Coturnix japonica: one gene and its partners. The protein of the gene in region 1 interacts with the protein of each later gene in a biochemical or structural test. Links are inferred from orthologs where the notes say so. Each region holds a gene or a part of one and is shown in the gene's direction. Other genes may lie near its edges. The genes, in order: RAC1, CHN2, PAK2, HACE1, IQGAP1, PAK1 and ARHGDIA.

Region 1 (4,017 bases):
ATAAAAACAGCCTTTCTCTTTTCAGAGATAGACACTGACATGAAATATCTGAGAATTATCATTGCCCTCCAAAGGAAAGAGAATAAATATTGTGGGATGCTCTGTCCACCGACGAGGTTTCATTTGATAGTTTCCAAATAATTTAGACATGTTCTGAAATGAATAGGAGATGAATCACTGGATAAATCCCTGGGATGGCACCTCTGTTGATTGCAGTGAATGGTCACTCAGCACAAGCAGTGACTGCTCGGGTCTCTTCCTCGTGCTTCCTTTGATGGATGGCAACACAAGGAGAATGGTGAATGTGTGCATCAGTCCAACCAGCAGCGTCTTCCAAGGAGAATAACAGCAACTGTGGAAAGGAAAAGGCTCCTGGGGCCATTGGGCCTGATCTGCTCAACTTTTACTTCAACAGTTACAGGAAATAAATGGTTTCCTTAGGGTAAAAAAGAAACCCAGGGCTCTGTGCAGCCTGGCAGCCCCGGTACGCGTGGTCCAGGCTGCCCCACCTGGGGAAGCTGGCTGTGCACTGATCTGGGCTAAAACCTGCCGGCAGATTGAATGAATGTCACAGCATGGCAGGGGGAGAGAGGGCAGCAGGAGGATCTGCCGATGGAAGGAGGCTTCTGGCTGCGCTCTGTGCTGGCACATGGAGCGAGAGGGACCGGCCTGAGGGGAAACGGGCATCTGTCCGTGGTGGCACACAGTGAGTGCCACAGGTTGGCCTTAACTCGAGTTACATCGGTAAATCTGTACAGCGAACCTAATTCCACACTGACACGTTTCGTACAATGTCGTGCATCGGTTTGTGCACAACAGCCTCGTGGCAGACCGGCCTGAGGAGCGTTGAAGGCAGGGATAACAAAATGGTGTCCAAAGGAGCGTTTGCTGTGAGCTTTGTGGCCATGCGATAGCAGTGAGCCGGGCAGGGCGGGATGGCGGGGTTCTGCATCCCGGTGTGCGGGCACACCGAGCTACCGCCCGGCCCGGCAGCACCGCTGCGTGACAGCGCGATTCTGTGCGGCTCCGTGCGAGTCAACGACGGCAAAAAGCAGAAGGGACCGGGACCGGCCCGTGTCGCAGCGCTGCGGGGAAGCCCGGCCCGACCCCGACGGGCGGAGGAACCGGGCGGCGGCGCCGCAGCGTGTCCCGGGAGGGCGGGGCGGCCGGAGCGGGCCCGGAGGCGGAGCGGCAGCGCGGAGCCCGGCCGGATGTGAGCGGAGCGGCCGCTTCCTGTTTCCCGCAGTTCTCTCCCCGCCCTGGGTGGTGGCCGCTGCCTCGTCCCCGCTCGCAGGCTCAGGGCGGAGGCGGCCGCGACACGCTGCGGAGCGACTGAGACGCGCTCCGCCGCCGGCTGCTTTATCGAGCGGCGCTCCACGCCCCGCCCCGCTCCGCAGCCGCGATGCAGGCCATCAAATGCGTGGTGGTGGGCGACGGGTGAGTGCGGACCCGCGGACCGACCCCTTCGGTCGGGCCCGAGCCCGAGCCGCGCTGGATCCCGAGGGCGGGGGCGGCGCGGGGACGAGCGGGGGGTTGGGGCTTGTGCGGGCGGGGGAGGGGAGCGAGAGCGGGACGGGCGGCGACCAGTGCCGGCAAATGGAGGCGACGGGAGGGGCGGGAGCAGCGCGGCCGGTGCGGGCCCGAACGCGGCCACAGCCCGAGTCCGAGCCCAGCCCGAGTCCGAGCCCAGCCCGAGTCCGAGCCCAGCCCGCTCCGCGCCGTGGCGGCGGGTGGTGCCGACCGAGGCGGCTGCGCGGGGCGGGGGTGCGGGCGGCCGGGCGGGGCCCAGCGGGGCTGCGGGATGTGAGCACTGGGAGCTGAGCACTGTGAGCTCTGTGAGCTGTGCAATGTGCGTTGTGAGCTGTGTGAGCTGAGCACTGTGAGCTCTGTGAGCTGTGCAATGTGCGGTGTGAGCTGTGTGAGCTGAGCACTGTGAGCTCTGTGCGCTGTGCGGGGCCGCGCCGGGGAGGAGGCAGCGCGTCACGGGGGGAATGGGCTGAAGGGCGGGGGGCGGATCGTACCGTGTGGAGCCACAAAGTACCGAACTCACATCGCTACATCCGCTTTTTGCTGCACAACTACGAACAATCTGTTCCGCTCCAATCGAACCATACGCGCCGTGTGAGCTGAGCGTTTTCCTGCTCGCACGGCTCCCGTCTGGGGAGGTTCCTGCCTGCAAGAGGCTGAGAAAGCAATCGAAACCCAACTCATTAACATCGTACTCAGCTGTAAATCACTGCTGTGCCTACAGCGCTCCGAATGGGATGTGCCTTATACATTAGTTAGAAACAAGTTGTTAGGATCAGGTTAGCACTAAGCTGACCTGTTGGATTCCAGCATAAGCACTGCAGCTGTGATGGGGATGTTGTGTTGCTGCTTCTCAGTACTCACCACCATGTGTTGCCATTGGCCCAGAGGCTCCTTTCTCTCTCGCTGGGGCAGCAGTGCAGGGCAGCTGAACAAGGCGTGGCTTGTGCACTTCCACGGGGCTTTTTTCCCCCTCGGTAGAAACAAAAATCCCAGTGTAGGCCGAGCATAATCGGTGTCACAGCAAACCCCTGCGGGTGACAGAGGCTGTAAGTGTGGCTGATGGCCTTGCTGCTGTCTCTGTAATTGAATGTGGTGGATTAACCTTCCAGTTTCCTGTGTGTGGCTTTGTATTTTTCAACAAGGCTTGGAGTCCCTGAGCTGGCAGCTGTTAGAAAGATAAACTGAGCTCACGTGGCACATGTGTTCGGCCTGCTCTTACTGTGCAGGGTTTTGAGCCGAACACGAGTGTACTGAGCACTTGATCATCTGACAGAGACTTGTCATAGCACTGTAACTGATGGATCCATCACTGTAATTGATGGATGGTGGGCAGTGTGACTGCAGGCAAACCTTTCAGTTGCGTTGACTTTAAAGGTGACTAAAATCCCTTTTTTTAATTGTCATTTTTAAAGTGAATTGATGTCTGTGGCAGTGCTGGAAATCAACGTGGTGCATCGAGTTTGGGTGGGGAGAAAGTTCTGCCTGTTTCCTCTGCTGGGTTGAGGAGCTCAGTACGGACGCTGTGTTACTCAATGACTCGCTCAGCAAAGCAGTTCTTCTTTGTCTCTTGCTTTGTAAACTACTCCTTTTCTCAATGCATTTCCTGCTGGAAATGAAAGTGTGTCATCCCACCCAAGTCTTACACGTACGTGTGAACAAAACACGGCATTCAGTGGGCTTTCCTTCCTCTGCAGTTAGAAGCACATACCTCCTAGGATCCCATCTAGAAGCCGCTGCTCAGTTTTGCTATCTGTTCATTGACTTCTGCTGGGATTTTTAAATATTTTATGGTGCTTCTCTGCTGTTGCTTCACGAGTGAAGACATTACAGGCGTTCTGGTAAATGCGGAATGTTTGGCTTAGATAAGGCTAAAGCTCTGGTACTTCAGGAAAACAATGCAGGTTAAAGATTTGCTCATATGACATAAAACTTAGGCGCTGATTTATGTGCCCTGTGGAGATCCACTGGGAACAAACCAGCTGTGGATGTACCTGTGCAGCCTTAACAGCTGGAAGCAAGCAGGCGGTTTCTGAGCTGTTTTTGTTCTTAGGGCTCTGACTGGTATCTTTTTAGAGCTCTAATTTGGCTACAAAACACAGCATGTTTGCTGGTTGTGCAATCTTGTTTTGCCCTTGTTTTCCTCTTCATTGTGAGGATTGTTAGAGGGAAAATAAACAGCAACTGTTGCTTGTGCTTGTGGAAGATGCAGAGCAGTAGGAACGTGTGCTGGGATAACAAGGGCAGGAGCTGCTGCTGACTGACACTTGTGGAGAGCACTGCTAGGAGTTATTTTTAGCAGCTTTTGTTTTCACTCTGAAAAAGCAGCTGTTCAGTGGTATGAAATCTCAAGTGATCTCGTGTAACGCTGGGGGAAGTTCTGTGCTTTGGAATGATGATTATTGGGTGACAGAGAAACGGTCAGCTTCCTGCTCTTCTGGAGCTGGTTTTCATTGTAAAACTATTGTAAGAAAAGAGTCTGTCTGGAAT
Region 2 (3,500 bases), on another chromosome or scaffold:
AGTTGTGAAAATACAACTTAAGAGAATAGGACAACAATCGCATTTACATCCAGTGTGTTTTTCTTCTTTTCCACTACCATGCCAGAGGCAGTGTTAGAAATATGCCACTTCAAATGTATTGTCAGGAAAGAGAAAACGCTTCAGGTCAGTACAATTTGGTGCCATTTTTCAGAGACAGTGGCAAAAATAGGCACTTTCGAAACCTTTGAGGAGACGCTTGGAAACTTATCAGCTAGCAAAATGTGTGTCAGAGTTAAGACTGAAACTGCTGTAAAGATGTTGTTTGTACTTGTGGAAGGATCACAACTAAGCATTGATTATTGTAAGGTTTATTATGCATCCCCTGGCCTCTTTCGTTCATAAAATACAATGGCAAAAGAATCACAGAAGTACTGCTACACAGAATGAGGAATTTGACTGAAATAAAGAAAACGGTGTTTTTCTTGAGGATGTGAAATATCTTCTACTTCAGTATGGGCAGAAAAGAATTTTGAGTGACTGTTGCCATTTTTCTTCTCAATTTCAGCTACAATCTTAAGGAAGTGGTATTAAAAGCTAAAGAAAACTAGGAATAAGAATGACCTCTTCTTTTGAAATCATCAGCATTTAAAATAAAAATACTACCATTATTGCCCATTTTTTTCTATTCTGTCCCCACAAAACTTCTACAGAAAAGAAGTATTGACTGATAGAGGAGAAAAGTTGTAAAAAAAACATGGTATATTTATGGAAAAAGATTTTTGGGGAACACTTGGCTGTTGTTTGCTCTTCTCACTTACCAGGTCCTCACACAGATGTTACACAGTGTTGTGTCCTGCTGCATCTGCAGTCTCATTTCAGAAGCTTTTCAGTGGTTTTCAGTAGAGCAGGGAGGCATTTCTGATTGGATTGTTCTGGAAATTGCTTCAATATCTTCCCTTAGGTTCCATGGGATCATTTCTCGGGAGCAAGCAGATGAGATACTTGCTGGTGTAGAAGGAGCATACATTCTAAGAGAAAGCCAGAGGCAACCCGGCTGCTACACACTTGCTCTCAGGTAAATGCTGTTTTATTTCAGCTGTAAAGATGTATGTGTAGGAGGCGCTGTCAGTCCTGCCTGAGGGATGTCTGCACCCACGGGTATGTAAAACGCTGCATGATGTTGGGGTGGTTTTGCACCCTCTTGTTAGCAGCCGAACTATTGCGGCACCACAGTTAACTATGTCTGTATGTTAGCATTTGGCTAGGAGATCGCTTTTAGAACTGCCTCTTTTAAGCATTTCTGCTATCTAGAATTGTGTGTTGCAGTGGGATAAACATGAAGCTTTTACTTGAAAACTCTACAGTATGTAGGTGAGGACAAAGGAAGAATATCCTGACAGAAGACTCAGCTAGGTTGTTCTCTGAGCTCTGTGATACCTGTGAGTCTGTGTACACCAACACCAGCAATAGGAGTTGATATTTAAAGAATCAGGCCTAGAAAAATAACAAGATCCAGCAGCAGATCAGAAGTCAGTTTTCTTCCCCCAAGTGAAATTCAAGCTTACTGTAGAATACAGTATGAAGCATGGGATGCTCACAGTAGGAAGACTGTTGTACACCTGAACTCAGAATTCAGCAAAATCCTGAGCTACTGCCTCACTACCCCTCACAGGTGCCTTTTCTTGAAGATAAAGCTGCTCCCGTCTTAGCTGTGCCATCCAAAACCTTTCCATGTGACAGTCTTAAAGGTATTTTGTGTTAATGTGAAAAGGATCAGATATTCCACTGGATTTTGACAAAACAAACTCCATGGCAAAATGTTACAGTGCTTATAGCATTATTCCTTCTGTGGGACGTGCATCCTCATTTTTACCCTTCTATTAGTAAGCCAGTAGCAAAACTGCTTATCCCAAGTGGCTGTGAAATGGTGCTGAAATCCTTCTGAGACTTCATATTGATGTGCAGATGGTAGAGTAGGAAAGCTGGTGAGTCGTGCCAATTGCAAAGTGTTGTAAATTAAAAACAACTTTTGTCAGCTGAAAAAGGACAAATGTAATTTCTTAAGGTTTTGGAGAGAGATTTAAAGACTAAAAAGAACTACCAGAGGATGGGGATTATGGCAAATTTCCTTCTTTGACGCAACTGCATGATTTCTAAGTCCATCCAGATAATATTTGTAGACTCAAAAAATGAATTTGATTCACAGTTGAGAATTTGTATGAAAAACTTGGGTGAAAAAATAAGAGTTACATCATTTTATTTGAATGCCCTACAAAGTGTACAGAATGTGCACATTTGGTACAACATGGAGCCACATAAGCCAGTATGATATTATTGAATTGTTTAATCGAGAGAGGAATTCCACATTGGTGTTGTAGCAGAACATGCTGCTGCCATGAATTTACACATCGTTTACACCTCCCAGGATTAGGAGCTGCTCACTTCTTACCAGAGGGTGGCTCAGACCTTTGGGTTTGAGTTGCTTGCTTACAGTGTCCATCTCTTCAGTGGCTGTAAATAATGGCCGTGATAGTTAAATTTCTCTAGTTTCAGGACCTCAGAAACATTTCAGGACAGACCAGCCCTCAACACAATTATACATCCCACATAAGGTTATGTCAGTGACAATGTGCCTTTCTCTTGGCTTTCTCTTGGCCCTTCAGGATTTATATTCAACTCAGGTGTATCTGAGTCATATGGCTTGTAGCCTACCCATGGGGTACTACATGGGGTAATGGTCAAATTAAAAACCATTGGGTTTTAATTTGAGCTGGAGCACCACAGAGATCCATTTGCACCATGTTCATGTTCCATATGCAGTCCAGACAGTTCAGCATGTCAGCAAAATGATCTCTTCAAGTGTTTTGACAGTGTGAGTTCCCTCTGACATTCTTCCCTCTGTCTTTTTGTCCTCTCCCTCCTTTTCTTCTGGTATATGCAGATTTGGCAATCAGACCTTAAACTACAGGTTGTTCTATGATGGGAAGCACTTCGTTGGGGAGAAAAGATTTGAATCAATCCATGATCTAGTAACAGATGGCTTGATAACGTTGTATATAGAAACAAAGGCTTCCGAGTATATTTCCAAAATGACGACAAATCCCATCTACGAACACATTGGATACGCCACTTTGCTTAGAGAGAAGGTCTCCCGGAGGCTGAGCAGAACAAAAAATGAATCAAGAAAAGCAAGTGTAACAAGTGAAGAAAATACCCCCGTTGAGAAGGTAAGTAAAATTTTGGGTAATTGATACCAGGTAATCTATTAAGTCTTTAGAAAAAAAAGTGTTATATCTACTGACTTTTTTAATATGTTTTCCCATACGTCATCAAATATTGCCATCCTGCTGAAATGTTTGTGTCCTGTTAACGTGCTCTTTGTTCCAAACTAATATTTGTTTGGAGTTGATAGTGAGAGTTTTCTAACAAGTACCAAATGCAAATATTTTTGCAGTGTCAATATCTGTACACATACTGCCTAGCTGCATCTAAAATTATTCACAAGTTACATTTCTTTGTCCATGTATACTCAAGCATAT
Region 3 (4,274 bases), on another chromosome or scaffold:
TAGCTGGCTCTCTGCAAGGGCAGTAAATTGAAAGGCTGTGTCCCATCTCAGCTTTCTTTTGGGATTCAAGATCAAGCCTTAGCAAAGGGCAAGTTAAATAGCAGCCTAGTTACCCATCCCCTGAATTGCAGCTAAAAAACCAACAAAAGCTGGTTAAGTGTGTATAACCAATTTACTTTTCCTTGTAGGAGAGTGAAGAACTGATTCTGCGTGTCCCGGTGGGGCTCACACAACACAGTGTCTTAGTGTGTGTCGTGACTCTTCTTGCCACCGTGCTCTGTTCCAGCTTGATTCTCACTGCTGTTTGCAGATATGGAGACTTCTCTCTGGTGACCTGCTTGGAATAAAGACGTGCAAAATGACTGAGCTCCAGATGTTACTGTTATTCACATCTTGGCAATGCATGAGGGTGCCCTCATGGACTGTAGTACAAAGGCAGCAGCAGTCAGGAGCAGAATGTGACTCCTATTCCTTACCCTAAACCTCAGCCTGGTCTAGCTTTGGGCTTTGGCTGGTGCTTTTCCTCACAGAGGTGTTTGTATTTCTTGAATTTAAATGAACAGACTTGACAAGTGGGTGTTAATGGTATGAAAAACATCCTTCAATCTCGTTTATGCTGCCCAGATGGGTTATGTGTGGATTTGGGAAGAGACATTCTTTGCTTACTTGTCACAGTAGAAGGCTTAAAAACCAATGGGTACAGCCCTGTAGTAAGTGGGGGGGGGGATTAGTTTCTCTTGCTTTGAACCGAAGGATTTGAGAGCTTAGAAAATCTGAAGGGAATTTCACCCTATATCTGAAGCTCAAATAACCCTTGGAAGATGAAAGCTGGTGAAAAGATACAAACTAGAAGCAAATATTTATAAGGCTCGAATTCAGCCCTCAGAGCGGTTGATAAATACAAGGAAATATGGAGAGGAAATTACTTAATGGAAAAACTGAGTTGCTCGAGATGAACAGTCGCTGTTTCCAGTCGTCAGTAGGTGGCACTGTGACCTTACAGCAGCTCAGGGGCTGCTGATGGACAAAATGCCCTTCCTTATAAGCTCAGTTAGTTAAAAGCGGCTGGTTTTCAAAGTCCATCTTCCTTCCTACGCAGCCAGGACTGTTCCCCAGCAGAATGAGCCTTTCATGGCTGTCCAGCTGTAGCTTCATGATCCCCTGGGCATCCTTTGCTTCTGGCATTCAATAGAGCTCGTCTTGTGACTGTGCCCACCACAGGTTGGCAACTGCTCTGACAGAGGGCTCTTGTTTTCCCCCGGCTGTGCTGAATGCTGCTGGCTGCTTCATCCACTACCTCAGCGGCGCCATCTGTGTGGTGGAAGGGGGCTCTTTAACCCCATGGTGTGACGGCGTTGCTCCCACTGTGTCCGCCGTTCCGAGGCCTCTTTCCCGCCCGTGGCAGCGCTTCCCGTGGTTCCCCGCTCTGCCGGGTGCTGCCGGGACCCGTAGTCCCGGTGGCGGCGCCCCGCCCTCCCGGGCTGTGGCCACGCGCGGCGGTTCCGCTTCCCCCTCCGGCTCCTGCCGCCGCCGTCTCGGTGGGTGCCGCCGCCGCCATTGCAGAGGCGCCGTGTGGCGGCCGCGCCCCAGCTGCCCCGTTCGGCCCGTCCCGGAGGCGGCCGGCGCCGCCCCAGCCCCGGTGAGTGCGCGGTCGCGGCCCGCTCCCACCTGCCGCCCTTTGTGGGCCCTCCCGGCCGGGCCTGCGGCGGGGCGGCGGCCGGGCGGCGCCTGGCGGGGCGGCCCCGAGGGTACGGAGCTGTGGGGAGGGACGGGGGGAACGGGGACGGGCGGGACGGGCCGAGCAGCCTCGGGGCCGTGAGGGGGAACGGCGGGCGGCCGAGACACCGAGAGTCGGCCCGGGGTGGTGCGGGAAGGCGGCGGGATGCGATGAGATCGTGCCGTGAGATCGTGCCGTGAGCCCTTAGCCCGGGCGGCCATCGAAAACGGGAAGCGATCCGATGTGCGCTTCCTTTCTGCTGCGGATGGAGGTGGCCCAGCGCTGCGGGGTGAGGGCTCCGCGTGTGGGCTGCTGTGACGGGCTGGGAAACTGAAAGAGAACACAGGAGCTAAAAACGTGAAGCCTTTGTGAGCTTTCAAGCGCTCACATCGACACACCTGAGGAAAAAACTCAGCGAGAAACGTTTTAGAGGAAGAAAGAGCTTTGATGTGGAGCTCGGTGCTGCTGTGCGTGAAGCCCGGACCTAAGAAGTGCTGGGTTAACATCCTCTGTGTGTGTGGAAGTGTGGCGATTAAAAACGTTGGGCTACGAAATGGACAAGGAAAGAAACGTCCGTCAGCTTCAGGCTGAGGGCTTTGAACTGTTGGTAGCACAGTGAGGTGGGGGCAGGAGGCTCATGCTGCTCCGGGTTGGGCTCAGTGCTGACCCAGTGCTCAGCCCATGGGGGGTTTGCTGCACTGACACCTGCTGCTGTGTCCTCTGGGCTGGTGCTGCAGTGTGTGGGGGAATGCTTTGACCATGTATGGCGGGTCTCATCTTGGGCATCTTTTAAAATGTGGCCCTTTAAAACCACCATTGTGCTTATTTCATTGGAGCCTTTCAGTTAGGTTTAAAAGAGAAAAATCTTCAAGCCCGTTTGGTTTCTGACTGATCCTAGGAGAAGTGGTAAGGGTATCCATGCTTCTGTTCTGTCTTTGCGCTGATAGGAGAGCTGCAGGGATCGGGAAGAAGGTCAAAGTGTTTTATTACCAAGACTCCTCCTGCTTTAGCGTTCCTGTATCAGTCTTGTACGTTTCACCTTTAATCTGTTTTCTGCATTAGGAGGTTTCTGAGGCGCTAAGAGCTCCGTGAGACTTCTGTGCCAGCGTTTCCTGCAGCAGCTCCCCTTACTGACGTGCCTGTGTAGCCACAACAGAGCAAAAGTTACTTTGCTTTGAAAACAGGGTACTCGGGGAGATGCTGCTTGAACTGGCTGGGCCTGGTGGTAAACGTGAGCAGCATTAAGGCTCTGGGGGCCGGCATGTGGGATATAGGAGGGAAGCTCTAAAGGTGAGTTGACTTAGCGAGGTTTTGGGGGTAGAAGGTAGTGATGGAGAGCTTCTACAGGTGATGTTTTATATGATCAGCTGAGCACCTGCACACCAGGCTGGGTCTCAGAAAGGATGAAGTCCTCTTCATGCAGCTCCTGGCCCAGGGCTGGATTGATTCTGCATCCCAGCAAGGTCAGCCTGGGGGGAAACAGCTTTTCCTGCGAGGAAGCGTGGTTTCATGTCAATTCATGCTGTGGTCTCATGGGAAATCAGGTGCTTTATTTCTTGCATTCCGATTGACTAGTGGACAACTGCTGCTTAGAACGTGTTTTTTGATGAACACACCTTACCAGGGGTGTGTAGTGTTACTCCTAGTGAGCATGGAGAGCTTTATGTAATAGATAAGGTCACTGTTTCCTATAAGATGTAAGGGCAGCATCAGTGTTGGTGTAGTGACTGAGGATGGTAAATAGAGCAGTTGTGTTTAAGTTTATTCACAAGCATCAGTCGATGTTAAGCTCTGAAGGAGGGCATGTCTCCTGCACCTGTGGGATTGGGTGAAGGTGATGTGTTCCCTTGGCAGGTTTCTGGAAGCTCAGATATCAGAAAGCCCAGTTATTGTTCAGTCCACAATCATTAGGGCTCATCTGCTGTAGCTGGCCAGTATGGGAACTGGTAGCCCTGTCTTCATGGCAAGCTGGTCCAAAGCAGCGTGTGTGAACCAGCAGCAGGACAGCAGGCAGGTGGATTAAGAGCTGGGGATACACTGGCAAGTCTTTCCAATTCAGCTTCTACCTTTTTTCCTTGCTGCTTGTTTTGGTGCTGGTGCCAGGTATTTGTTTGACTCATCGTGTGCTCCCAGGAGTTTACAACTGTCAGCATACAAAGACTTTCCAGAGCTTCTTTCATGAGTAAAGTCAAAGCTTTGCCCGGTCCTGTGAGTTTTGTTTTGGAAATAAATGTGATGCTTTCTACTCTTAACTTATGCTCACTGTTCATTTACAGTCTTTGCAGAAGTGCTTTTATCAACAGGGTTATCTTCCAAACAAGAGAGAGAAAAGACTGTTTCTGGCAGATGCTTTCTAAGTGACTTTACTGTTGAAGCTCCTGCTTCCTGGAGAGGTTTCGGATAGGGAAAGAGCCTGGATGAATGGGAACGAGAGTATCTTTCCTCTAAGCCCATCTCCTGCAAAATGCCATCCTCTCGTCTGAGAGTTTGGATCTCACTTATGCTGAAGTCAGACCAAAGTTGGCCAGGCAGTGGTTTGCTGGAAGGGACTGAGCTG
Region 4 (2,520 bases), on another chromosome or scaffold:
TTCAACCCGGGCCATTCTATGATCACCAGATGAGAATGTATCCACCATGATGGTTTTATTAGTTAACACCTGAAATGTTAAATCTGAAGTACTAAATGAAAAGATGTATCAAAACACTTGGGTCAGTTTTTACACAGGCAGCAACTGGAGAATAAACTGTTTAATAATGCAGTACTTTTTGAACTGCAAATGAAGAAAAATAAGTAAATAAGGTGTGATAAATATGATAATGTGGTAAACTGAGATCTTATAAAGACTGGTTGGAGAAGTGAACTTGCTTTGCAAACAGAATTCTCCTGAATATCATTCAAAGAGTTTGATGTATAATGCACATAAATGTAAATGTAAGTATTATAATTAAAAGTATTTAGACAATGAGAATTTTGATACTGATGTGAGAAAGGGAGAACCTTGATAAAAGTGTAAGTTAAGAGAGATTGTGGTGTTACTAATGTGTTTTTTACTTAACTCTTCTTATGATGATCTAATTTCTGTGAGTATTCTCAGTTCCAGAGTGCCTCATGGTGGCTTTGCCCATATAATGGGAGGGAGTGGACTGCAGAATTTTACAATTGCTGCCGTGCCATATACTGCCAACCTTTTACCAACATCTAGCACGTGGTATGTCAAATACTCATCATAACACCTTAGAAATAAAAGCTTTTCCTTTTTCTTATAAATGCCAGTCAAAAATATTTTGAGTGTTTTCATTAAAAGGCCAGAAGTCCTTGACAGTTCCTGGAGTATTCTCTTGCCATCATCCAGGTGGTGGGTTTATACTCAGTGGCAGTTGTATAATTTTTATTTTTTGCTCATTTTTCTCCACTTCAATCAAGTGGAATCAATAAAGGAAGTTAAAAGTGAAGTTAATGTATTAAATTTAACTAATGTGATTAAAAAAAAAGTTTTTCTGCAATATATGTGGATGCTGCTCAATGGGATTGTAATGCAGAACTGGCTTTGTTGGATCCTTATTTACTGAATGTGACATCTTTGGAATTTTCAATTAGAAGACAAAACTTTATGCTTGCATTTCTTGTTCTGATGAGTTTTCCTTTTCTATTTTTCTGTTCTTGGTTTGTTTTTTTTCCTCTTCCCCTTTCCAGTATCAACATGCTCAAGTTACCTGAATACCCAAGTAAAGAAATCCTGAAGGACAGGCTTCTTGTGGCATTGCACTGTGGAAGCTACGGTTACACAATGGCATAATGAAGTCCAGAAAACTCATCTGACTACTGATGTGAAATTCAGTGTGGTGGAAATTGTTTTTTGGGAAGCTGTTAGTGGAATAGCAACTCAGATGCTGCAGCAAGGCTGAGTTTCAGAACTCATACAGGATCATCAGGTTTCTTTCTCCATTAGGTGTTGACAAATGAACATTGATACTGTCACACAGCTTACTTTTCTCAGTATGTTGTATTTTCATTTTTTTAAATGACAGGTCTGTATGGAAATTGGTTTACACGTTTTTCATTATTACTTCAGTCTGAATTGGGAAGTTTGTTAGAATCTCTTTCTGCTGTCTTATTTTTGATTTTCATCTAGATGGTCAAATGGCATTGGCTTATTTTGCATTCAGGTAACGTACTGCTAATGGACAGGCTTGTACTTCATGCCTTGTTGCATGTGAAAGTGCCGTTTATTTTTTCAGAGAACACCAGGGAAAGTTCAATTTGGATATTGTACAGTAAGACAGATCTGATGTATTTTCCATTCCTTTGCATAGTAACAGAAATAAAGTTTTATAACTTTTTAGTATTTTAATGTATATAGTATGTAAAGATTAGACTTATCACAGGAAAAATATCAGATGAAATTAATATCTAATTTGTATTAGAATTTACACTATATTCTACTAAATATTTAAAGTATTTGTGACTTTATAGTCAACTTACAGTTTAGAATTTGTAAATATTATTTAAGTTCTACATCCATTTGTTTGTTTGAATGCCTTTGCTCTTTCCTTGACATAAATGTATGTTTAAAAGTTATTATTAAATTTTAATATTTTTTACCGGAATCTGAATGTGACAAGTTTGTATAGTTTCATATATTTGTTTTCTTTCTAGGACTTTGTTCATCTTGTTTATACTTTTAAATCACCATGGAAATAGCTTCTGAGAAGGCATTATTAAAGTTTGTGGATAGACGTAAGCAAATGCACAGGGAAGGAACCTGAGCTTACTGAGAGGTTAACTGTCAAGGCTATAATAATTAGAATCTCACGTCAAAATTTCTATAGCACCGGGGTATGTTCCTCAAGTCATATGCAGGAATGCACACCTGAATGTTTTGTTTTGTTTTTTTAATAAATGGGGATAGAATAGATATATTTATAATGGTTTTTAAAAGACTTTATGGTAGGTCTACATTAGCATTTTGGTTCAGGATAGGATTGTGTTTTTATTTTTTAATGAATCTGATCATCCCTACTTGCCATGCTTTTACTCCAGAGAATGTGGTATGGATTATTTCCAGCTGAAACTAAACAGAAAAACACCATCCATGAATGTACCAAAT
Region 5 (3,500 bases), on another chromosome or scaffold:
TATTGACAAATTGGAATTATACTTTGTTCTTCTTGCACTTCCAGATGGATGGAGGCCTGTCTGAATGAGGAGCTTCCTCCCACAACAGAACTGGAAGAAGGATTGAGAAATGGTGTCTACTTGGCCAAACTCGGAAACTTTTTCTCCCCTAAAGTGGTTTCTGTGAAGAAAATTTATGATAGGGAACAGACTAGATATAAGGTGAGAGCTGCTGGTTGTAGATACTGGGTTAGGTAGATATCTCAAAATGATGATCTTAAAAGTCCCTTCCTACCCAAACCACTCTGTGATTCTATGAGAAATGTCTCCTTTGCTTGAGAATACTGGGTAAGTGAGGGCTGTGGTTTCTTAGCTTTATGTCTGAACTTACAGCTGTGAAAGAACTTGTGTTGTAAGTAAGCGATATAATTTTATACATAGAAGACTGCTAACTTTGAGTGCACTTTTTTTTCACTGTCTGTATTGTCAGATGTGATATTTCTTTTGCATGTCCTCTCATTTCTGCCTATTTTTATTTCAGGCAACTGGTCTCCATTTCCGGCACACTGATAATGTAATTCAGTGGCTAAATGCCATGGCTGAGATTGGCCTCCCTAAGGTAATATCCGTGTTGTATGTGCAAATTGGTATGTAATCTCAAAAGTAACTTCGTGTTCTGTGGGAGCATTTCCTGTTGCACTAAAACCAACAGGGTTCATATGGTTACTTTTTTGTTTTCTAGACTTGCATCTGTATAGAATTTCTATCTGAGAACTTGATGAAATCTTCCATTTTGCTGTGAGAATGATTAGGTGCATAATAGTTGCTTCTTCTGTCCCATACCACAAATCTTGCATATTGCCTATACTACGTTGTTTGTATTCTGCATTCTATTGTGCAGTATCTGTGCTGCTGTTAGATTGTGGCAGTTTTTCAGAAATCTGTGTTAAAAGAAGCAGCGCAACAGAAAACAGTAGGTTCTCAAAATTGAATTTGTTAATTCGAAATTGGTTTTGGGTATGGCTTAAATATAAGTTATTGGCAATGCTATGGGAATGGCTCGATAGCTCAGAGGAGTTTAATAAATACTGTTGCCTGAAAATACATGGACCGTGGTAGTGCTATGTGGGCACATGAAGGAAAGGGGAATGCGTTTTTATGTGCGTAGAACTTAGACAGGAAAAAAGGAGCCTTGGTTTGGGTGGAAGATTAAAAAAAAAAAAAAAAGTGTGACTTTAAGCATGGGAGACATGCTAGGGTCATAGAAGTGTGAAGAGTTTTGTTTTTGTAGATTGTTTCATTAGTGTACTGCAGAAGATTTGGTCTTAGCACAGTTAGGACACTGGATTATGTAGCGGCTGTATCATTCAGACTGCTAATTTTGTTTTATCTTCAGATATTCTACCCAGAAACCACAGATATCTATGATCGCAAGAACATGCCGCGCTGTATCTATTGTATTCATGCACTCAGGTAAGGCATGCTAGGCAGAAATCTTCAGTTCCTTCTGAAATCTGCCTGGAAAGCTGAAAGGTGAGGGAAAGAAGGCTGGGCTGAAGGGTGAATGGGGACAAATTCTCTAGCAGAGCTGTTGTACCAGACTGGAGTGAAGATCTACACTGAATGCCTTAGGTTTGAAGGGACCTTAAGGATCATTTAGTTCTGATCATCCTGCCATGGGCTGGTTGCCCCACACTATATCATGCTGCCCAGGACCCCATCCAACTTGGCCTTGAATGCCTCCAGGGATGGGCCATCTTACAACGTTCTTCAGGCAATCTTTTCCAGCATCTCATATCTTTCTACTATCCAGTATTTGTGTTTAATGTCATAAAATCATAGAATCTTTCAAGCTGGAAGGAGTCCTTTAAAGTCATACTAGTCCACCTCCCCTGCAATGAACAGGGACGTCTACAGTTAGACTGAGTTGCTGGGACCCTGGTCCAGCCTGACTGTGAGCATCTCCAAGGGCAGGGCTTCCAGCATCTCTCAGGGCAACCCATTCCAGTTAAAAGTGAGTTTCATCTGAGGCACGGTTGTTCATTTTTTTAGAAATTTATTTTAATGCTCCCTTATGATCGGATAATTTGCTAGAGGGTACAGATCCATGAGCTGTGCTGAGCCAGCTTGAGAGGGAAGCAGACAACTTGCTTCTCTTTCCCCAGTCCCGTTTGTCTTAGCTTTGCATCAGTTCAGTTTCTCATCAAGCTTCTTTGTCAATCAGATTAATTCACTGAAATTACAGGGGAAAAAATGAATAAGTGAATGTGTTTATGTCACACTAGTAAGTCACATCACCTTATTAAGACTATTTTGACACAGCACTGATGAGGCCACACCTGAAGTAATGTGTCCAGTTCAGACTTCTCAGTGCAAGAGAGATGGAGCTGCTGAAAAGAGTCCATCAAGGCTGCTGAAATGATTCAGGGTCTGAAGCATCTTTTGTATAAGGAAAGGCTGGAGAGCTGTGTCAGTTTGGTCTGGAGAAGAGAAGGCCGTCAGGGGCAAGAAGGATCAGATCTGATCAATGTGTATAAATATTTGAAGGCATCATGTAATGAAGACTGAGCAAGGTTCTATTTGGTGGTCTCTGAGGACAAGGCAAGAGGTAATGGGCATAAACTGAGATACAGGAGGTTCCCTAAGAACATCAGGACATACTCTATTCACTATGTGGATAACCAAGCAGTGGAATAGGTTGCCCGATGAGGCTAGGAAATCCTTTCCTTTGGAACTGTTCAAAAGCTGTCTGGACACTGCCGTGGGCAACTGGCTGAAGGTGATGTTGCTTGAGCAGTGGGATTGGGCAAAAAGACCTCCAGAGGTCCCTTCCATCTTCATTCTGTGTGGACTTCAAAGTGGTGAGCAAGTCACGTGCAGCTGAGGAGGGAAGGAGAGAGGAGGATCAGCTTGTACCTTATTGGTAGCTGTGAGCTGTTACATGGGTCGGTATGCTTGAATGGTTCCTTTGATCCTTTTTATCTCCTAAATTATGATATCTTAAAATAAACAATGAGGAGAAATTACTCATTCTCATCACTTATTTTCTTTTGTAGCCTGTACCTGTTCAAATTGGGTCTGGCCCCGCAAATTCAGGATTTATATGGGAAGGTGGACTTCACAGGTAAAAATAAAAAAAGGAAATTTGTACCAATGTGTGCTACCTTTATTTCAGCTGTAGGAGATATTGTCAAGATCAATGTCAGGAGTGTTAACATAGGCTTCCTAAATGCAAATTAATTTAAATTAAAGAGTAATGGTTGTGAGCTGTTCAAGAAGTTAAAGCGGAAGGCTTATTTTGGGTAATTTTGTTCAAACCGTGACAAATTCTTAGCCAGGTCGTTGGTTCTCTGATGGTATTTTCACAAATAACAGCTCCTGAATTTTTGACTCTTGTTGAAAGATGATTTGACATCACTTTTATCCCCTTGGGAGTGGTTTCACTTTGATACTTAGTAAGCAGTTCTGGTTTCCTTTAACAGTTTAGAGTAGAGCTGTGCGTGTACACACAAGTGCCTCCA
Region 6 (3,500 bases), on another chromosome or scaffold:
TTTTGGAGTGTCTGTAGTGTAGAGGACTGTGAATTTCAGTCATAGTATGGCTTGGGTTGGAAGGGACCCCAAGGATCATCAAGTACCAGCAGGTACTTCAGATCTGGTAGTAGACTGGGTTGCCCAGGGCTCCAACCAACCTGGCCTTGAACACCTCCAGCGATGGGGAATCAGCAGCCTCTCTGGGCAAAACAATTTTTTTCTGTGTTTCCTTCAAGACATTCTCTGTTAGGAGCTTAATCAGACATTTGTTACACGTTTACAACAAGCAATTAGGTTTTTATTTTTGCTATTCGTGTGACCACATGCAGAATGTGAAAGCTGTGTCTGAGACCCCTGCGGTGCCCTCTGTGTCTGAAGATGAAGATGATGATGACGATGCAGCTCCACCCCCTGTGATAGCACCACGACCTGAACACACCAAATCTGTGAGTACCAATACCTCCTTCAGCACAGTCACGCTCAGGTCTGGAGAAGATAAATGGTGTTTAAGTTATCATCTGCTTTGTATTAATACGTGTTTTTATTCAATAAAATTCAGATATACACCCGCTCTGTGATAGACCCTCTTCCTCCTCCTACCAGAGATGTGGCCACCTCTCCTATTTCTTCTCCCTCGGAAAACAACACAGCGACACCCGACATGTTGATCAGGAACGCGGAGAAACAAAAGAAAAAGCCAAAAATGTCAGATGAAGAGATTTTGGAAAAATTAAGTATGTCTTCCTGGAAAGAAAATTAATCAAATTCCATGTTCTCTTGTGTTGGTATCTTAAAAGCTGAGATGTTTGGGCACAGCTATTTTGAGATCCCTTACTGAAAACTTTGCCTTGTGACTGTGTGCCAAAATTGGGGCAGATGAAGAGGGAGAATGTAGATGTAAGCCGAGCACCTGTGATGCCAGCTGAAGGGCTCTGGGAGCTGCAGATCCTCAGACTCTGCAAAACGAGCCCTGAATATGTAACATCTACTTAACCACAAAGTCTGAGACTGCTCCACATCTTGATATTCCATAGCTATAGAGTGTGGGTGATTATATGGAAACGTTGCACCTGGGGTGAGCAGAACTTTCAGCTGTGACTAAAAGACGGAGAAAATCTTTGCAAACCCAAGTTCACCTCCCCTGATATCATGACATATTAAGTGTCCTGGCACTGTATGTATACACAGTAAATAACCCACATTTGTGGGTGTTATTTTTGTCTTTCTGTTGCGTCCCAGTTTCTTTGACAGTCCTTACCTTTAGTTTTTGGGTGTTATTTAAAGTGCTCCTCTACTGCCTGGCATTACTGGGATGTGCTATGGCAGCATTTGACAGCTGAAACAGCTGTTCTGTGCAATTGATTGCTGTCCTCAGCCTGGGCCAGCTTTTATTAGAGTAAAGCATTTCTAATTCTTTGAACTACTAACCCCGTGTTAATTACATGTGTGACTTGCATGTCAGATGGTGTAAATTGTGTTCGTACCCCTACAGTCAGGCTGGACTCCTCTGTTGAAAGTTTTTCCTTCTATTTAATGAAGCTAAGGCTAATACCTGAATCAAGAGAAACTTAATCTGAGAGCATAACTTCAGTACTTAATTCCTCTGAGATTAGGCCTAAATTGCATTGATGGCACGTAAGCTGGAAGTGTTTGCTATCTGAAAACTTGCCCTTTCAAGACTGGTTTCAGAACAACAACTTCTTCACTTGCTGAGTTAGCAGGACCTTTGTATCATTAAGGATTTGAGCCATTCTGTGACCAGGTAGGGCAAGCAGGGTCTGGAAAAAAGTGCAATTCTAATGCAAATACGTTTGCTTCTGTAAATCCTCACCTCTTAGCATTAGTACAAACATTAATGAATCCTCACCTGGCTTTTTGGGAGGTAGGAGACACTCCCTCCTTTTACAGATGAGAGAGGGTTAAACAGGACAAGACTGAGAGCTGACTCTCGCTGCTGCCCTGCAGCACTGTCCTGTGACTGCCTTGGGCAGACATTTGCCTCTCACAGTCTGAACTTGCATCCTGTGTTAGGCTTTAAGAGAAAGTTTATGAACATTAGTCCAGCAATGTGTGTCCTCAGGGCAGACAGCATTGCTGCAGTAATTGTGCAGTAGGGTGTACACAGTCTGATTTCTCTTCCCACCCTCCTCCCCAGGCAGGAGCCGTATTCCCCTCTTATTTCTGTCTGCCTTAAACCCCGTGGATTTGGCTGCTGGCCATTGGTGTCTGAAAATAGCCTGCTCTTACTCTGCTCGCTACTGGATTTCTTGGCATGATGACCACAAGCAGTTTCCTTGCCAATATGCATCTGTTTAGGTTCAGCCCCAGGCTGCTGCAAAGGCAGCACCGTATGTTGGCTGCTTGAGCAACTTGCAAACAACGCAGAGGCAGCGCTGCATCCCTTGATCCTATTAGAATCCTTGAATCATGAATGTTGAAAAAGACCACTGATAAAATCTAATGTTGCAGGGGAGATTTGTACCCACCTGAGCTCTAGGGATTGTTGGCCTGGATGTCCTCAGCCCTGAAGGATGTGATTCCCCTCCAGCTCTGGGGACATGATGAATATCACTGTCTTCAGGGAGCTTGGGGTTCCAGTGATGCTCTTTTTGGTGACTTCTCTAGCTTAATCCTTGGCCTTGGTGCTTCTTTGCCCTTGTTCTGTGAGCTCCCTCCACTACAGAAAGCTTGAGGTTATGTTTCTTGTGGATACCAAACCCACCTTGAGCCTGAGCAGCCCCTCACCACCTTGCAGAACACGAAGCCAAATGCTTTACCCTCCAAGGGATGCAATAACAGACTTTCTTTCAGCTGAACAGCCACATTAGGGAAAATGAGCGGAGTTTGCCTCAGGGTGCTCTCTAAACCCAGGAAAGCATGGCTGCAGTTGCATGGCAACTGCTACTAAAAGCCTCCTGCACTTTCCCTTGCTGCTGGGCTACTAATAGAGAAGCTGAGCAATGCCCAGAGCAATAGCTCTAGCTTCTTCCCCATGTCTTACAACCTATTAGTTAGATCAATAATGGCTATGTTATTACTGGTATGGAAAGGTGGTAAATACGTTTGTTCTGACAGAAGTCGTCATGGTGTTATGGTTGTATGGAAAAGTACTTCTCAGATTTACTTTGTTGCTGTTGTTTTTGTAGGAAGCATCGTGAGTGTGGGTGATCCAAAAAAGAAGTACACGCGCTTTGAGAAGATTGGACAAGGGTTGGTATATGCTTCCACTTCTCTCCTGTACCTTTGTGTTAAGAAAGAAGCTCTGAATCCAGGCTAAGTTAATCTGCTGGAAAAGCTGGTGATTATTTTTTCTGCTCCTTCCCCGGAGCTCTCTTCCCATTTCCTACCAAAGTTTTGAGTCACAGTGGCTGGGTTCTTTTGCGCAATTGTGTTTTAATAGAAGAAAATATGTCATTAGATGATCAGGTTGCTAAAGATAGCTGTAGGCAGGGATGGAGCCTGTTTATTTTCAGAATGCAAGGCTGAAATCACTGATTTGCTTTCTGAGTTAACTCTCC
Region 7 (4,297 bases), on another chromosome or scaffold:
CAGCACAGAGGTGAGAAGCCGCGGGAGTCGCTGTGCCAGTCAGCACGGGGAGTGAACTGGCCTGTGTAGGAAGCATGGAATCCTCCTCGTGTCCTGCAACCTTCTGAGTGCCTGTTGGGGTTAACCAGAATGCACTATAACAGTTGCTTTTTAAAAATCACAGTGTAAACAGAGGTGGAATGACCAGAAACCGTGGTGGTACAGGAGGATTTGGTGGTGGAGGTACCAGGCGAGGTAGTCGTGGTGGGAGCAGAGGGAGAGGCAGAGGGGCTGGAAGAACTTCCAAACAGCAGCTCTCTGCAGAAGAACTAGATGCACAGCTGGATGCTTACAATGCCAGGGTAAGTGCTGCTCACATGATGGTCACGGGTACCTACAGCGTCCTTTTGATAAACACTGGCAGCTGGCTGGAAAGAGAAATTGTTTTTCAGGTCATTTGACTTAAATAGCCTCCCTCTAAAGCTGAGCATTGCCCTGTTCCTTCAGCTGCCTTAGCTCTCCACATCTACTGTTACTCATGAGTAATAAATAGCCCCTTTTCCAACTTCTCCTGGCTTGTTGAAGCCTGTGTCAACCAGAATTGGCAGTAATCAAGATGTGTGATGAACGAAAGCTATGAACCAAAGCCCAAAGGGATAATAGGCTGGAAAAATGAAAAGCAAAAAGAAAAAACACATAAAATAACCAGCTTGGTGCTAAGAAAGGAAAAAAAGTCAATGATGCTGATCACCCCTAATGCAGGTGGATGAGCAGAGCAGTGCACATGGTTTCTTTCATTCAGAATGAGCTCAGATATTGTGCCACAACAAGACTAAAGTCTTAACTGAGAATCAGTTAAGAAGTGATGCAGGGACTTGGCCCAAGCACTGAGGTGCAGTTTAGGTCTGCTCAGTGTGTGCTGTGGATTGGGCTGCATCTCCGCCATTGAGGCAGCAGCATCCTGGGGTTGGCAGGCAGGGCTGGGGGGTGTCAGGGTTGGGGATGGAGCTGGGGGGTTGTGGGGCCATGGTGGGTTGTGGGGTCATGGTGGGTTATGGGGCCGTGGTGGGTTATGGGGCCATGGTGGGTTATGGGGTCATGGTGGCTGCTGACGCTCCTCTCTGTTCTCTTCCAGATGGACACCAGCTAAAGCGTTGAGCGGCGCATGGAAGGACTGCAGACATCTCATTCCATGCTGTGTGGCGGGAGGGGTGTGCGACTGTGGCTACTAATATCAAGGATGGGATTTGTTTTACTTTTATGTTTTGGAATAGGTTTTAAACTCATGTAAAGGTTTTTTTTAATTCTGAAGCCAGACCCGTTTTGTACCGAGTTATTTTTGGGATAAATTTTACTGGTTGCCTGTTGGGCCGAGGTGGCTTTTTCACCTTTGCCGTAATAAAATAGAACCGTGTCTAGAGCTCCGCCTGCTCCCTGCCGCGCGCTCCTTTCCCGCGCCCGCGCTGCGCGGCGAACGCGCGCGTACTCCCTGAGCCAATCAGAACGCAGCGTCGAGGCAGGAAGTGAGGAGCGGGACACGCCCTCGTATAACGGGAAGTGACGGGCGTGTCCCGGAAGTGCGGGGGTGCGCGGGCGGCTGGGCGGATCCCGGCGGCGTTGGACCGCGGCGCGGACGGTGAGAGCGGCCGGGACGGCGGGACCGGGCGGGGCGGGGCCAAGGGAGCGGGGCGGGGGGCGCCGGGATCCGCCATGTGCGCTGCGGCCGGGCCGGGTCCCGCGGGCTCAGCGCCACGCCAGGGTCCGGGGCGCGGCCGAGGGGGCAGCGGGCGCCGTCCGGGTGCGCGGCGGGGAGCGGAGCGAAGAGCGGCGCCTTCGTGCCTTGAGGCCGCCCCGGCCGCCGCTGTCGGACCGGAGCCGGGTGGGGACCCGCTGGCTTCAAATAGATTCTCCATAAATGGTTTCGAGCTTTGAAAGGAGGAACTTGAAGGCGACTTCCCCACGGTTGGGTTCGTTTGGCGTTAGAGCCGAGACGTCGGTGCAGCACCGGGTGCAGGATGGAGGATGGAGCGGCAGTGAGCGCTGTCCGGGCTGCGGGGCCTCATGGCCGTGCCGGAAGGATGGTGCCGTTTCCCTGCCTGGGCGGGCGCGTTGCGTGAAGCCGTGACTTCCTTCTCTTAAAGAGCTCTCGGTTGTAGCACTCAATTATCGCTGTGAGAGCTTCAGGTCCCGGCCGTAGTGCTCTATATAGTGCTCTATGGGCTCGGTTCTCTTGCAGTGGTCCCGTTCTTGTCCCAGAGATGCTGAGTGGCGGCCGCTTCCACGTGGTGCCCAGGAGACATTTGCAGCTCCTGCAGTGTGGTCGTGCTGTAGCTCTGCAGTCGTTGTACTTACAGGTGCATAGTGCTCACCGTGCAGCTTGTTTGAGTACGAGGCTGCAAGGGCTTCTTAAATCCGATAAGCAGTGGGAGCTGTCTGCTCGTTCTCGGGTGATGCTCGTGGCAGGTGATACCTGCAGGTGTTGTGCAGTGCAGGGCAGTGTCACCAGCACGGTGCACAACTGCGGATCTGGCTGCAGAGCACCTGGCAGCAGCTGCTGTGCGACCCACAGCTCCTCCCCACGCCTGGAGCTGTGACAGGGATCAGCCTTAGGGCAAGGCGGGAGATCTCCATGCTCATAAAGCAGCTCAGCAATGCTGTGGGAGCACCCAGCGCTGTGCTCCTGAGGCTAAACCTGCCTGCAGGCAGCACTGGGGGGGGGTCACTGCTCTGCTGCTGCCACGCAATTAGACCTGGCTCTGGGCAAGCTCACGTCTGGCCCCTCGAGCTGCCATCATACGGGGTGTCTGTGCTGCTTGAACTGGTTTTAGCAGCTCTTGCTTCCTGTTTCTGCAGCACAGCAGCTTATGCAGCCCTGAGATGAACCAGGGTGGTTGAACCGACCTGTGTGGGAAGTAACCTTGCAGAAAGCCACATTGGATTCCAAGTGGCTTTGCTGTGCAGCTTCATCAGCTTTCCCTTGTGCTGCAGCGAAAAAAGGAAGGGTGTGGACTGCTTGAATTGGCGCTGTGTGTGTCCGTGGCTGAGCTGAGGCCTGACGGATGTCCGAAGCCAATTAGGTCATCTGTAAAGACTCTGACCACTCTTATGTCACTGCACAAGTACCTTGGGATCGTGGCCCTGGCATGTAAAGAAATCACTGCTCATCCCTGCCTGATAACGGTGTTCTTTTCCTAGCAGTGTTTCTATCTGGCAGAAGGTGGGGCTCGTGTGTTCACTGCTGTTCGCTCCTTGGTATCGAACTAAAAATACTGAGAGAACTCAGGAGAAACTGCTGACTTCAGGAAGCGGCGCAGGCAGCTGAGTGCAGATCTGCAGATGGGAAATAATTTGGTTTCTGCTGCTTTCTGCAGGCCCCAGTAACCAGCAGAGCTTCCATTTCCAGACATTCTGGGACATCCCTGAGGCCGCAGTGCTCTCCTGTGGTTGAGTGCAGGGTGGCACAGAGGCAGCAGCTGCACTGTTCTGTGAGCCAGGTGTGTCTGCAGTCAGAGCCATGGGCTCGGGCGGTGCCGCACAGGGTGTGCAGGTGCCTTCCGGGTTTCAAAGTTGCTGAGGGGGAATTCCTTGCAGAGGCCTTGGGGTGGTGCCTGGGTGTGAGGCTCAGGGCTGAAGGTGCCATTGCTGCTGGAGGTTGGTGTTCTGGGAGGTTTCAGTCACGAGGCTGAGCCCTCTGAAGGGGTTGTGGCCTCAGGTCCCCGTTCCTCTGCCCCCACCTCTGCAGCAGCATGTGCTGGAGCCATGATCCTACAGGACGTTGGGCATGGCATGAGATGGATGCCCGACCCAGTGTTCCAGTGTGTTGAGTCCCTCAGCTCTGCTCTGCCTAGCAGTACGACAGCTCCTCCTGCATGCACCCGACCAGCTCTGTTCTACTCATTCTAGGCTGTAGGAAATGCATTGTTATAGAAGCACGGAGCAGCCTGATGCTGCTGGGAGCCTCCTTTCTCCCTGGCAGAATACTCAGGGCAGCAGCTGAGCACTGTGATGTGAGGCTGCACAATGCTGTGTGCTGGGAGCAGGGTCAGCCGGGCGCAGTGGGAGCACGATGCCATCAGAACACTGCAGCAGAGGGGCTGTGGTGCAGCCAGCTCCATGAGGCTCCTCCAGGCCTCGCTGCACATTTTTCCTGTGCTTCCTTGCAGAGCTGAGACCCAGCCTGTCTTGAGCTGCTGTTTGGAACATTGCTTGCTGTTTCTGGTAACTTTGGGTCAGTTTGAAGAGCCACTTTTCACCCATGGACTTCCATGGGGTGCTCGTGGGGGAGGGAGGGGAGGGGTGAAGTCTGGCTTGGAGCTGA

What was found.
Region 2: the proteins of RAC1 (region 1) and CHN2 form a complex in vitro, tested with the Homo sapiens proteins (2 studies listed by BioGRID). The link is inferred for Coturnix japonica from reciprocal best matches to the Homo sapiens genes RAC1 and CHN2.
Region 3: the proteins of RAC1 (region 1) and PAK2 form a complex in vitro, tested with the Homo sapiens proteins (2 studies listed by BioGRID and IntAct). The link is inferred for Coturnix japonica from reciprocal best matches to the Homo sapiens genes RAC1 and PAK2.
Region 4: of the proteins of RAC1 (region 1) and HACE1, one has a biochemical effect on the other in vitro, tested with the Homo sapiens proteins (5 studies listed by BioGRID and IntAct, with this or other methods). The link is inferred for Coturnix japonica from reciprocal best matches to the Homo sapiens genes RAC1 and HACE1.
Region 5: the proteins of RAC1 (region 1) and IQGAP1 form a complex in vitro, tested with the Homo sapiens proteins (3 studies listed by BioGRID). The link is inferred for Coturnix japonica from reciprocal best matches to the Homo sapiens genes RAC1 and IQGAP1.
Region 6: the proteins of RAC1 (region 1) and PAK1 form a complex in vitro, tested with the Homo sapiens proteins (17 studies listed by BioGRID and IntAct). The link is inferred for Coturnix japonica from reciprocal best matches to the Homo sapiens genes RAC1 and PAK1.
Region 7: the proteins of RAC1 (region 1) and ARHGDIA are reported together in a solved structure, tested with the Homo sapiens proteins (2 studies listed by BioGRID and IntAct, with this or other methods). The link is inferred for Coturnix japonica from reciprocal best matches to the Homo sapiens genes RAC1 and ARHGDIA.

The regions. Positions count from the first base shown.
Region 1 is NC_029529.1:8,463,519-8,467,535, reverse strand, and holds the start of RAC1 (ras-related C3 botulinum toxin substrate 1), read left to right. Parts: upstream 1-1,217; 5' UTR 1,218-1,402; coding exon 1,403-1,437; intron 1,438-4,017. UniProt on the Homo sapiens protein: Plasma membrane-associated small GTPase which cycles between active GTP-bound and inactive GDP-bound states.
Region 2 is NC_029517.1:30,877,969-30,881,468, forward strand, and holds part of CHN2 (beta-chimaerin), read left to right. Parts: intron 1-922; coding exon 923-1,036; intron 1,037-2,902; coding exon 2,903-3,188; intron 3,189-3,500.
Region 3 is NC_029524.1:3,560,574-3,564,847, reverse strand, and holds the start of PAK2 (serine/threonine-protein kinase PAK 2), read left to right. Parts: upstream 1-1,474; 5' UTR 1,475-1,639; intron 1,640-1,874; exon of another isoform or gene 1,875-2,006; intron 2,007-4,274. Other genes in the region: PIGX (phosphatidylinositol-glycan biosynthesis class X protein), read left to right, coding at 189-347. UniProt on the Homo sapiens protein: Serine/threonine protein kinase that plays a role in a variety of different signaling pathways including cytoskeleton regulation, cell motility, cell cycle progression, apoptosis or proliferation.
Region 4 is NC_029518.1:62,808,258-62,810,777, forward strand, and holds the end of HACE1 (E3 ubiquitin-protein ligase HACE1), read left to right. Parts: intron 1-507; coding exon 508-621; intron 622-1,106; coding exon 1,107-1,209; 3' UTR 1,210-2,020; downstream 2,021-2,520. UniProt on the Homo sapiens protein: E3 ubiquitin-protein ligase involved in Golgi membrane fusion and regulation of small GTPases. Acts as a regulator of Golgi membrane dynamics during the cell cycle: recruited to Golgi membrane by Rab proteins and regulates postmitotic Golgi membrane fusion.
Region 5 is NC_029525.1:18,435,996-18,439,495, forward strand, and holds part of IQGAP1 (ras GTPase-activating-like protein IQGAP1), read left to right. Parts: intron 1-44; coding exon 45-201; intron 202-520; coding exon 521-598; intron 599-1,375; coding exon 1,376-1,452; intron 1,453-3,035; coding exon 3,036-3,103; intron 3,104-3,500. UniProt on the Homo sapiens protein: Plays a crucial role in regulating the dynamics and assembly of the actin cytoskeleton.
Region 6 is NC_029516.1:172,852,954-172,856,453, forward strand, and holds part of PAK1 (serine/threonine-protein kinase PAK 1), read left to right. Parts: intron 1-311; coding exon 312-428; intron 429-541; coding exon 542-716; intron 717-3,128; coding exon 3,129-3,192; intron 3,193-3,500. UniProt on the Homo sapiens protein: Protein kinase involved in intracellular signaling pathways downstream of integrins and receptor-type kinases that plays an important role in cytoskeleton dynamics, in cell adhesion, migration, proliferation, apoptosis, mitosis, and in vesicle-mediated transport processes.
Region 7 is NC_029533.1:4,449,828-4,454,124, forward strand, and holds the start of ARHGDIA (rho GDP-dissociation inhibitor 1), read left to right. Parts: upstream 1-1,497; 5' UTR 1,498-1,615; intron 1,616-4,297. Other genes in the region: ALYREF (THO complex subunit 4), read left to right, coding at 1-10, 164-341, 1,115-1,129. UniProt on the Homo sapiens protein: Controls Rho proteins homeostasis. Regulates the GDP/GTP exchange reaction of the Rho proteins by inhibiting the dissociation of GDP from them, and the subsequent binding of GTP to them.